Drosophila melanogaster: one gene and its partner. The protein of the gene in region 1 purifies or fractionates together with the protein of each later gene. This does not show direct contact. Each region holds a gene or a part of one and is shown on either strand. Other genes may lie near its edges. The genes, in order: CG15818 and CG10184.

Region 1 (4,016 bases):
ACGCCGTTCCCCCTTAAGGCCACCTCGTCCTCCACCTCCACGGCCGCCACGGGTGCCAGGTTTCGTTGTCGTTTGGGGTGCGATTGCTGGCGCCGCAGCAGGAGCTGTGGTCACGGCGCTCTGGGTGGCGGGAGCACCTGGTGCAGCAGCCACCGCGGGCTGTGGAATGCCCGTGGCACCACCCTTAGCGGGCAAGCCAGGAGCACCACCACCGGCCGGAAGTCCCGCCGGAGTAGCAGCAGGATTTGCCACCGCCTGCTGCTCCGCCCGTTTCGGTTCACTCATATTGACGCTCTCGTTGAAGACCATGCAGTACTCGCCGATCTTGAACACCTCGCCGTTCTTTCCGGAATAAAGGGTCAGACAATGCCTCCAGATGGAGGCGTAGCCCTTTGTCAGTCTGACAATATCACCGGGTGCTATCAGTTTGCCCGGCTCGTCCCAAATCGAAACATTGATGCAGGCCGTAGGATCGCCCACCTTATAAACATTGTTTTCACTATATTATTTGTTTTTATGTGAATAATGCAACGATGGACCCACCTTGAAGTTCCTCACTTCGCGGTTTTCTTTTGTAACGGTGGCCACGCCCACTTCCAGGACAATAAAGATAACATTGATGTTCTTCAGACCCGGCTTTATGTCCTTAATAGGAATGCATTCCACGTTATACATTGCAGAATGAGCAAGAGTTTTTAAAAAGTACAAAAATGATTTGTTTTGTTTTGGCGTAGTGCAGCGTTGCCAGACGTTGAAACGGCTTTAGTGTGACCTCACCTAAGACAACCAAAAATACTTTAGTTTGCTTTGGAACTGATTATTCCAGTTGTTTCATCCAATTTTTTTTTAAATTTTATTTCTTACCATCTAATTTGAATTGTTATATATACATTTATTTTATTTATCGTTTAGTAAATTAAAAATATTAATTTTTTTTCTTGATCAATCATCTCATAATAAGTACAGCGAATGTTGAATAGATTCTATTTCAACGGAAGGATAACTTTATATTTACAAGCAAACATTACTTTATCAATTTTGTTAGTTCGTGATTAGAAACCCTATAAGTAATTCAAAAACTAACACACAAGCAACAAATTTAATTGTGGTCACTAAATTAGGGAACCACCCTAGATAAAAAAGCTTTATCATTTCCGGCAGATGTGAATCATTTTAAATTTCTACATATATCATTCTTCTGACTGTGCTAGCTTTCGATTATTTCAACATAGGGGCGTAGATAAAATCTACAATTAACCAGATAATTTAATTGGAAACCTCCAGAGCAGTTAAGTTCAATAAACCGGTGAAAGTGGGCACAAAAAAGAAATTCCTGGAAGAGCAAACAAGTTGACATTAATTAATCAAGTGATGATTATCTAACATTACAGCCGTTACTCGTAGAGAAAAAAAGTATACCTCATTCGTTGATGAATATGCAACAGGTAAATGGAATTCTCATTTCGGATCATTAGTTGATCTGGCCATTTCCGTTTGTGATTTTGGTTACCATAAAAGCTATAAAGATAAGATCGAGCGTGCAGATCCTATAAACGCAACGCAAGTTTGTTTCAGAAGATGGACACGCCCAATATATTTTGATTTTATTATTTAATTTGTTAAATTCTTTATATATACGCACTCCCGCTAGCTGAGTGATCTAATAGTGGAGGATATCGACTTTAGCGCTGATTTCAGAAATGAAGTATGTCATTAAGTTGAAGTACATATCTACTTTACTACCATACCATATTGACAACGCTTTACAAATAATGATAACTTATGATACCACATCAAATTTCTTGTGACAATTTTAATAAGAAGATCAAATATGCTTATCAACCATATTGCCGGGCCTTTAAAAAGAGAGCCAATTACTTCAGTATCAGTTCTTTATCAAGCTTCAACCTCAGTGGTTGTCCAAAATGTTTAGCTCTACGAGAATTATTTTGTGCGCATTTCTATTGCTGTATCCTTACGGATCCCTGATAGAAGCCCAGGAGGGCAGGCGCTATGTGTGTCTATTATCAGATCCTCCCAATCAGTGCAGTGAATATTGCGTATCCGCACTGCAGCCGGTCATCGATCACCTTTCGAAGGAGCAACAGGACTGGGGAGCCTGCGAGGTGAAACTTAATGGAAGCGTCGCGAAACTGGATAAGATCGAAGACCAGTTGACGGCGACACAAATCCAAATAGAAGCCCAGCAAGCATTCCTTGTGAACAACATTTCGAAGGCAATCAAAACCGAGGACCTTGAGCAAAAACTAAAGGATATCGAAGGCAATCAGACAGCGCTGAGTAATCAGTTGAAAGATGGACAGAAGAGGACGGAAAACCAGTTGACAGCCATCCAGAAGACTCTATCCGATATCGAAAGGAAACTCGTGCTGCAGAGATATCAACAGATAGGATCGAGATATTTCTACATCGAACACAACTTACAGGTGAACTGGAGGACCGCCGAGCAGAGGTGCATTGAAATGGGCGGCCACCTCGCAGCATTCCAAAATGCCGAGGAATACAACGCCATAGTGGGCCAATTGAACAAGGCGAACTACTGGCTGGGTGTCAACGATCTGGCCAAGCAGGGCGAGTTTATATCCTTGGCCTCCGGCAAACGAGCTACCTACTTCAAGTGGCGCAAAAATGAACCCAAATACAATAATCCTACCCAGCACTGCGCCTACGTTTTTGGGCACGAAAACATTATGATCGTTCTGTCCTGTACCACTGACGTTATGCATTTCATTTGCCAATCAGACAGTGATGTTTAGTTTTAAAGTATCAACACATGTATGAATGAATATTACAACAAAACCACAAATACTATAATTCACTTTACTGCATTTGATGCAAAAATTGATGGGAACATTTAATAACGCTTTTAGCAATAATTTTTCTTTGTGAGAGGGTTTAAGGGCAATTTTTTTTGACAACAAGTGATTGCCACAGATAGGAAATTATTTCGTTTCAAATTGTCAAAAAAGTCGACATGGCGCCGTAAATAAATTGGCTGAAATGAGTAATAGGCTTAAGAGATTGCTGTTATCGAATTTATTTTATTTGTTTTTCTGGTTTTGGTTCCCCGCACGTCGTAAATTAAGATTGATTCCTCGTTAAGATTATTAAATTTATCGTACTCGACAAGCACTCTTTATAAGCAACAAATGAATAAAGAAATTTTCGACTTTAATCACAAAAACTGGCTTATATCAATTTTAAAAACTCCTATTAAACAAGGCAATAAACTGTGTAGGTTCGTATTTCAATTAATATTTGCTAACTAAAATATTTTTGGAATACGATATTTTTGTGCCCTAGTTGCACATCTCTAGCATATTATAAGCCGATAGCTCCGGCCGATTCCCATGGCGTTCCGCTTGGCATCCACCTCTGGCCACTCTAATCAAAACAATACAGGAAAACAGGCATTTTTGTGTACAAATATTAAAAAAAACATTCTGCGCTACAAAAATGGCCTTGGAGTCCGGCAGCAGCAGCTCGGAGTCGGGCAGCTCATCCACAAGCGGATCCACCAGTTCGGAAACGGGCAGCAGCTCGGACACGGATTCCAGCAGTGCGACGCCGGAGGAGAAGCCATCCACGAATTCCTCCGCCAAATCCCAGACGCAAACACAACAACAAACTAATTCCGGAAATGCACAGAGAAGAAAGCCTGTTCCTGCGGCGTCGGAGGATAAACCCAAGCCGAGCGTAGCGCCATCTAGCAAAAAAGTAAACAATCCTCCCAAAAGTAAACTCTCCAGCGATGACGACGAATATGAGGACTCGGCGCCGCCGGCCAAAAAGAACTCACGTGCAATGGGCAGTTCCACTGTAACAGCGGCAGCTGCCGCCTCAGCAGCCAGGAGAAAACCACCCGCGTCCGTCAACAAGCCAAGCAATCCCGCTAACAAACCGAGCAATCCTACCCAGCGATCGGCCAACAACAACACAAATCGATCACTGGAGAACGGCGAGGGCAAGCGACCCTCGCTCTCCTCCTCGTCCAA
Region 2 (5,385 bases), on another chromosome or scaffold:
GAAAACGATTAAATACCAAGTGCTTCATAAGCTTAATTTATCTGTAATTGCATTTCAATCAATTATGTAATGTTTCCAAAAGTTGAAACACAAAAGTGAGGTGTTAAGCTTATAACGCTGATTAAAAGCAATATTTAAATGAACTATTTTATTTATCTGATAGCTTCCACAATGGTCCCAAGCCGCTGTCCCAGCTGATGAGCGAATCCCTGAGCCAGGATCCCGTCAGTCCGGTGCTCTGGCAGCCGCACCTGGAGGCGCTGGACCGCCGGACCGGCATCATCCTGCAAAGCATACGCGACTGCATAAAGCGCAATCCGCCGGGCGACGTGGACGGATCCGAGACGGACGTCTCCTCGTAGCGATAAGGAGGCGACCGGAGTGAGCCCACACAACATCCTAGAGCATTAGATTAAATCCCCTAGCTGTTAGTCGCGTGTCCTGTGTGTTGAAACTGAAACAAAAAAAAAAAAAAAACAATTAGCGTTAATGTTGGTGGCAATCGGTCTTTGAAAAAGATCAACGTCCTAAGTGAAGGAATCCCTGTCGCTCCATCTGCACATACCAAAAAACGGAAATTAGAAAAGAAACCGAAAAGAAGGCCAAGAGCCGAGGGCGGAAATGAATTCACTCCAAGTTTATACTTTCACCTAGATTGTTTGTCGCGCTGCTGGAAAATGCTTTGATTGGCAATGAAATTTGAGTACCTCCCACCCAATCGCACACGCCCAAATCAAACCGAGCACTATCGTACGCTTACAGTGGGTGCCAAAAGTAAACGAAGACGCAATGTGCAAACAACTTGAATGTGAAAGTATAAACTAAAATATAGGGCAAATCTTGACATTTTGCCAGCGTGCGCCAGAAGGAAACTTGTTCAAAAGACTATAAAACATAAACAACAAGAACTAAAACTGAAAGGATAACTACAAAAAATTGAAACTATTTTCTAAATATTTATTTATAATTTTTGCATACATTTTATGACTTTTACATATACACTTTTGCATACACTTTTCTCGTATGCAATGATGCCCCTACTTCCCACGCCCATTCTCAAGAAAAGTTGTTGCAAGTTTAGTTCGTAAGTTGACCTAACATTATGATCGATATCAGGCGTAGCTTTATCCGATTCAAGGATCGTCTTATTAGTTAGTCCAATCAGTTCCAGCGAGAATCATGTACTTCATCATGTCGGAAGCAAAACAAAACGTGAAACAACTACTGTTAACAAACTAATTCATACTATTATTGAGTACATAGCTAAGTTAAATTTGTTTTTATTATTGTAACGTTTTTCAATTGTACCTTGAGTGGTTGAGATAGAGATCATTGATTGGCCAAGAAAAGAAAAAGTGACAGGTGAATTGAGTGTGAAAACTATGAGAAAAGAACAACAAAAATGTGTTAGACATAGTAAAATTTTAGTGAAAATTTCTGATGTAATTAATAAAAAAGTACCAAAGAAATCTTGTGTGTTTTAATAGAGTGCTATTACAGATCACATTCCGTTCCTGAAATAGAATCTTAGTGTGGGCAGGGCTTAAAGAGCATGGCGTTCGGCTCTTCGAAAATTTGTATAAAAAGAGAAAAAAATATTAAAAGAGAATTTAGATATCTCTTATACTAAAAAAAAGAAGAAGATCGATCGCTGCTCAATTGGGAACAGTATTATCATTGCGGAGGTTGCCTTATAAAGAAGGCCATTTAGCAGCTGTTGGGGTCAGTTTTTCGCTAGCTCTGAACGGAGCACGTTGTGTGATTTTTTTCGCTTAGTTTTTTTATCAATTAGGTTTCCAAGTGAGTTCTGTGATGTTTTTTTGTTTACTTACGTGTTTTTTTTTTTTTTTTGACAAATTGAATTATGTCTATTAAAGTTGAATAAAGGTTGAACGAGTTCAGCCGGGAGATCAAGTGTTAAAAGTAAAATAATGATTATGCAATCGCTCAACACACCATATTCCAATTCCATTCGAATGTCCAGAAGTGATTGTTTTCATTTGGTGTTGGGCCCCCAACCGCCTATCGCCCCATTGCCCATATCAATTATTTAAGGCAGTACAACTGACGTGTCTCAATGTAAATGAATGAGTTCGCGATTCCATGGGGGATTTGCTGCTGGCCATAAAGATGGAAAATCAACATAGCCCACCTTATGCAAATATCCCAGCTAATCAACTTGCAGAAAATGACCACCCATTCCGTTGTTGACCTGCGCTCGGACACCGTCAGCCAGCCGACGGACAAGATGCGGGCCCGGATGGCCACCGCCGTGGTCGGGGATGACGTTTATGGCGAGGATCCCACCGTCAACGAACTGGAGGCGCGAACAGCGGCCATTTTCGGCAAGGAGGCGGGCCTCTTTGTGCCCAGCGGCACCATGGGAAATCTACTGGCAAGTGAGTGGCAACTGCCAGGAGTCGTAAATAAGCCCGGCTCATTTTCCGTCTCTGCTTTAGTGGGTTTCCGTAGTGGGGAATCGCTTATGTTTATTAGTTTAAAGCGAGGCCAGTCTCAGATTACACAAAAGGTGGCTGGTTGCGTGGGCGTGGGCCGAGCGAAAAGGTGAAAGAAACAAGAAAGCAGTGCTCATATCATGCATCAGGTACATTATCGTAAAGGCTAAGGGCAGCCATAAACATAACATTAATTTTTATAGACTTTAATATTAGACGTGGACGTGTGCCACACAGTCGAGGTCGAGCAAGGGAAAAGAAAAACTGAAGGATAAAGGACGAAGTTGCAAGGAGCTACCGCTTTGGGCATCGCAATCTGGAGTAATTTATGCTTTCGCTCAAATTAATATTTCTAATGGAATTTGAAGTTTGCATTTTATTCAAAAGAAAACTGCTGCACTCATACTTGTGATTGTGATAATTTTTCAAGAGGGTTGCTCATTTGGTATGCAGCAATAAAAGAGTGATATTTATATGAGTACTTCCTGGTCTTAATTAAGATATTTCATTTAAGAACTCGAAAATAAGGGAAAAGGCATTTCAGTTTACTATGTTCATTATCAAATCATAATAAACCTTATCTTAGAAAGATTATGCACACTTAAAGCTAGTTAAATATCTATTAAATTACTAGGTATTAAATCTTTACAGGAGTAATGCAAATTTTTAAACGATAAGAATCATTAGCTAAATTTTGTAAAGTAAGAAGTGCTATTGATATCAGTAACAATTAGTAAGGCTGTAGTAGTTGTATTAAAGATGAGTTCAGAGCTAAACCGAAAAGCCTGTGGCTGAATCCTTGATTATCCCGAGCCAAGCGAATACTCCAATGTTTCCCTTGATAATCTCCCCAGTTATGGTTCACTGCCATCGTCGTGGCACGGAGGCCCTGGTCGGCGATTTATCGCACATCTTTCTGTACGAACAAGGTGAGAAGAGCAAACACTCCGCCAGGACTCAACGACTCCAGAGCGTTTTCATTAATCACGTTTAGGTGGCGCCTCGCATTTGGCCGGAGTCCAATTAGCCACTCTGAAGAACGAGCAGGATGGCACCTTTAGTCTGCAGGATCTGCGCCGCAGGATACGCCACGAAGACTGCCACGAGCCCATCACCTCGCTGGTGGTGGTGGAGCAGACCCACAATATCTGCGGTGGCAAAGTGGTGCCTCTGGCCTTCTTGGATGAGCTAGCTGCTCTGGTCCGACAGCCGGGCGTGGGCACTGGGAACGCCCGTATCGCTCTACACATGGACGGAGCGAGGGTCTTTAATGCGGCCACCGCCTTGGGCGTGGGAGTGGAGCGCATCTGCCGCGATTTCGATTCGGTATCTATCTGCCTCAGCAAGGGCTTATCGGCTCCCGTGGGATCCGTGTTAGTCGGCTCCAAGGCCTTCATTTCGGAGTGAGTTTAACCCGGCATGACGGCATGAGTGTCTAATACGCTGCTTGCCGGCTAATATTTGCTTTTCCGGGTTCCGGTGACTCCAATACTTCGATATAATTACGGAAATTGGTGCTTAGCTGCAGTCCATTTTTAGTTATTGGTAACTGTATCTTAGTAATGGAATTATTTGACACTACTTACATATAATATAATTTTATATTTGATGTTAGCCAATAACAAATACCTTTCTGCGTATAGAGCCCATCGACTGCGCAAAGCTTTGGGAGGCGGAATGCGGCAGGTGGGAGTGTTAGCAGCAGCTGGACTGGTAGCTTTGGATGAAGTGGTACCACTTCTGAGCAAAGATCACGAGCGGACCAATAAAATTGCCAACGGTTGGTGTCATGACGTCTAACATAATTGCACACCTATAAATATCTATTTCCTTTTCAGCTATATATGAACTGAAAAGTCCCAACATTACCGTACACGTGTCGTCTGTCCAGAGCAATATCCTTCTGGTAGAGATAACCCAACCCAAACTGACGGCCAGTGAGTTCTCCACCCGGTTGAGCATCGTTGATGCTGGTGAAGTGGAAGCCGGAGTGAAGGACAAAAACGGAGCCGGAATCGTGGTGAAGGCTAGTGCCCGGGATTGGGCATTTGCGAGACTTGTGCTCTACCATCAGGTGGACGATGAGCAAGTGGACCTGGCCATCAGGAAGCTGAAGTACGTCATCGGCCAGTACGACAAGCAATTTCCCAGGACCTAGACATTTGTAATTCTTTTGAATATTACTGGAAAGACAAACACAATTAGATTTTGCATTTTGTCGTTTAATTAAAGACATAGAGGGAGCAAAAGAAGATCTCAAATTTGTATTATTGCCCCTTGAGTGGGTCCGAGCTGCGTTTACATTCACGCATGACCGGGCATCGTTCCGTCGAAGCTGATGGACATCCGGCCGGGCTCCAATCCCACCGCCCATTGGGCTGCTGCTCCGCCGACTCCTGCTCCATTTCCCCAGAAGTTTTCCCTTGTGTGTCTGCATGAGTGCCCGGCTGAATGAAATAATAAAATTATTTTTAAAATATTATTGTCAATCCAGCGATGTGCTCATCGATTTAAAAGCCTGCAGTGCCCAGTGCTCCATCCTCGCAGCCATCGGACAGTTGTGATTTATAAGCAAACTTATCGCCGGCGAAGGCGGAATGCGCTCAAAATGATTGGATACCGGCATCCAGGGTCTCTGTGTGTTCCCTTACAATGGATTAGAGAGCTGGGCTGAGTGAATAGCAGAGCCATACGAGGGGGCGGGGCACGGCATTGAAATGTTATATTTTATAAATTATGCTATGCCAAATGAAACGAAATTCAATTAGAGAAATTGCTGAAGCATTTGATAAATTGAAATTGAATTGACTCGGCCAAAGTTGGTCCTTTGTCTGCATTTTGAGCCTCCGTAGATTCTGGCCGGGATTAATGTGTAACGAAAAGTCATCTGCCCAAATGGCAAGTAATTATGGAAGGTTGATTTTTCGGA

The links.
Region 2: the proteins of CG15818 (region 1) and CG10184 purify together in Drosophila melanogaster (affinity purification with mass spectrometry, with the first as the bait; one large-scale study listed by BioGRID). This does not show direct contact.

The regions. Positions count from the first base shown.
Region 1 is NT_033779.5:7,409,030-7,413,045, forward strand, and holds CG15818 (uncharacterized protein), read left to right. Parts: upstream 1-1,879; 5' UTR 1,880-1,925; coding exon 1,926-2,777; 3' UTR 2,778-3,200; downstream 3,201-4,016. Other genes in the region: CG5181 (uncharacterized protein), read right to left, coding at 1-480, 544-675; chm (chameau), read left to right, coding at 3,478-4,016.
Region 2 is NT_033777.3:23,601,828-23,607,212, reverse strand, and holds CG10184 (uncharacterized protein), read left to right. Parts: upstream 1-1,717; 5' UTR 1,718-1,800; intron 1,801-2,185; 5' UTR 2,186-2,188; coding exon 2,189-2,399; intron 2,400-3,310; coding exon 3,311-3,385; intron 3,386-3,450; coding exon 3,451-3,859; intron 3,860-4,099; coding exon 4,100-4,236; intron 4,237-4,294; coding exon 4,295-4,614; 3' UTR 4,615-4,706; downstream 4,707-5,385. Other genes in the region: CG31145 (uncharacterized protein), read left to right, coding at 164-362.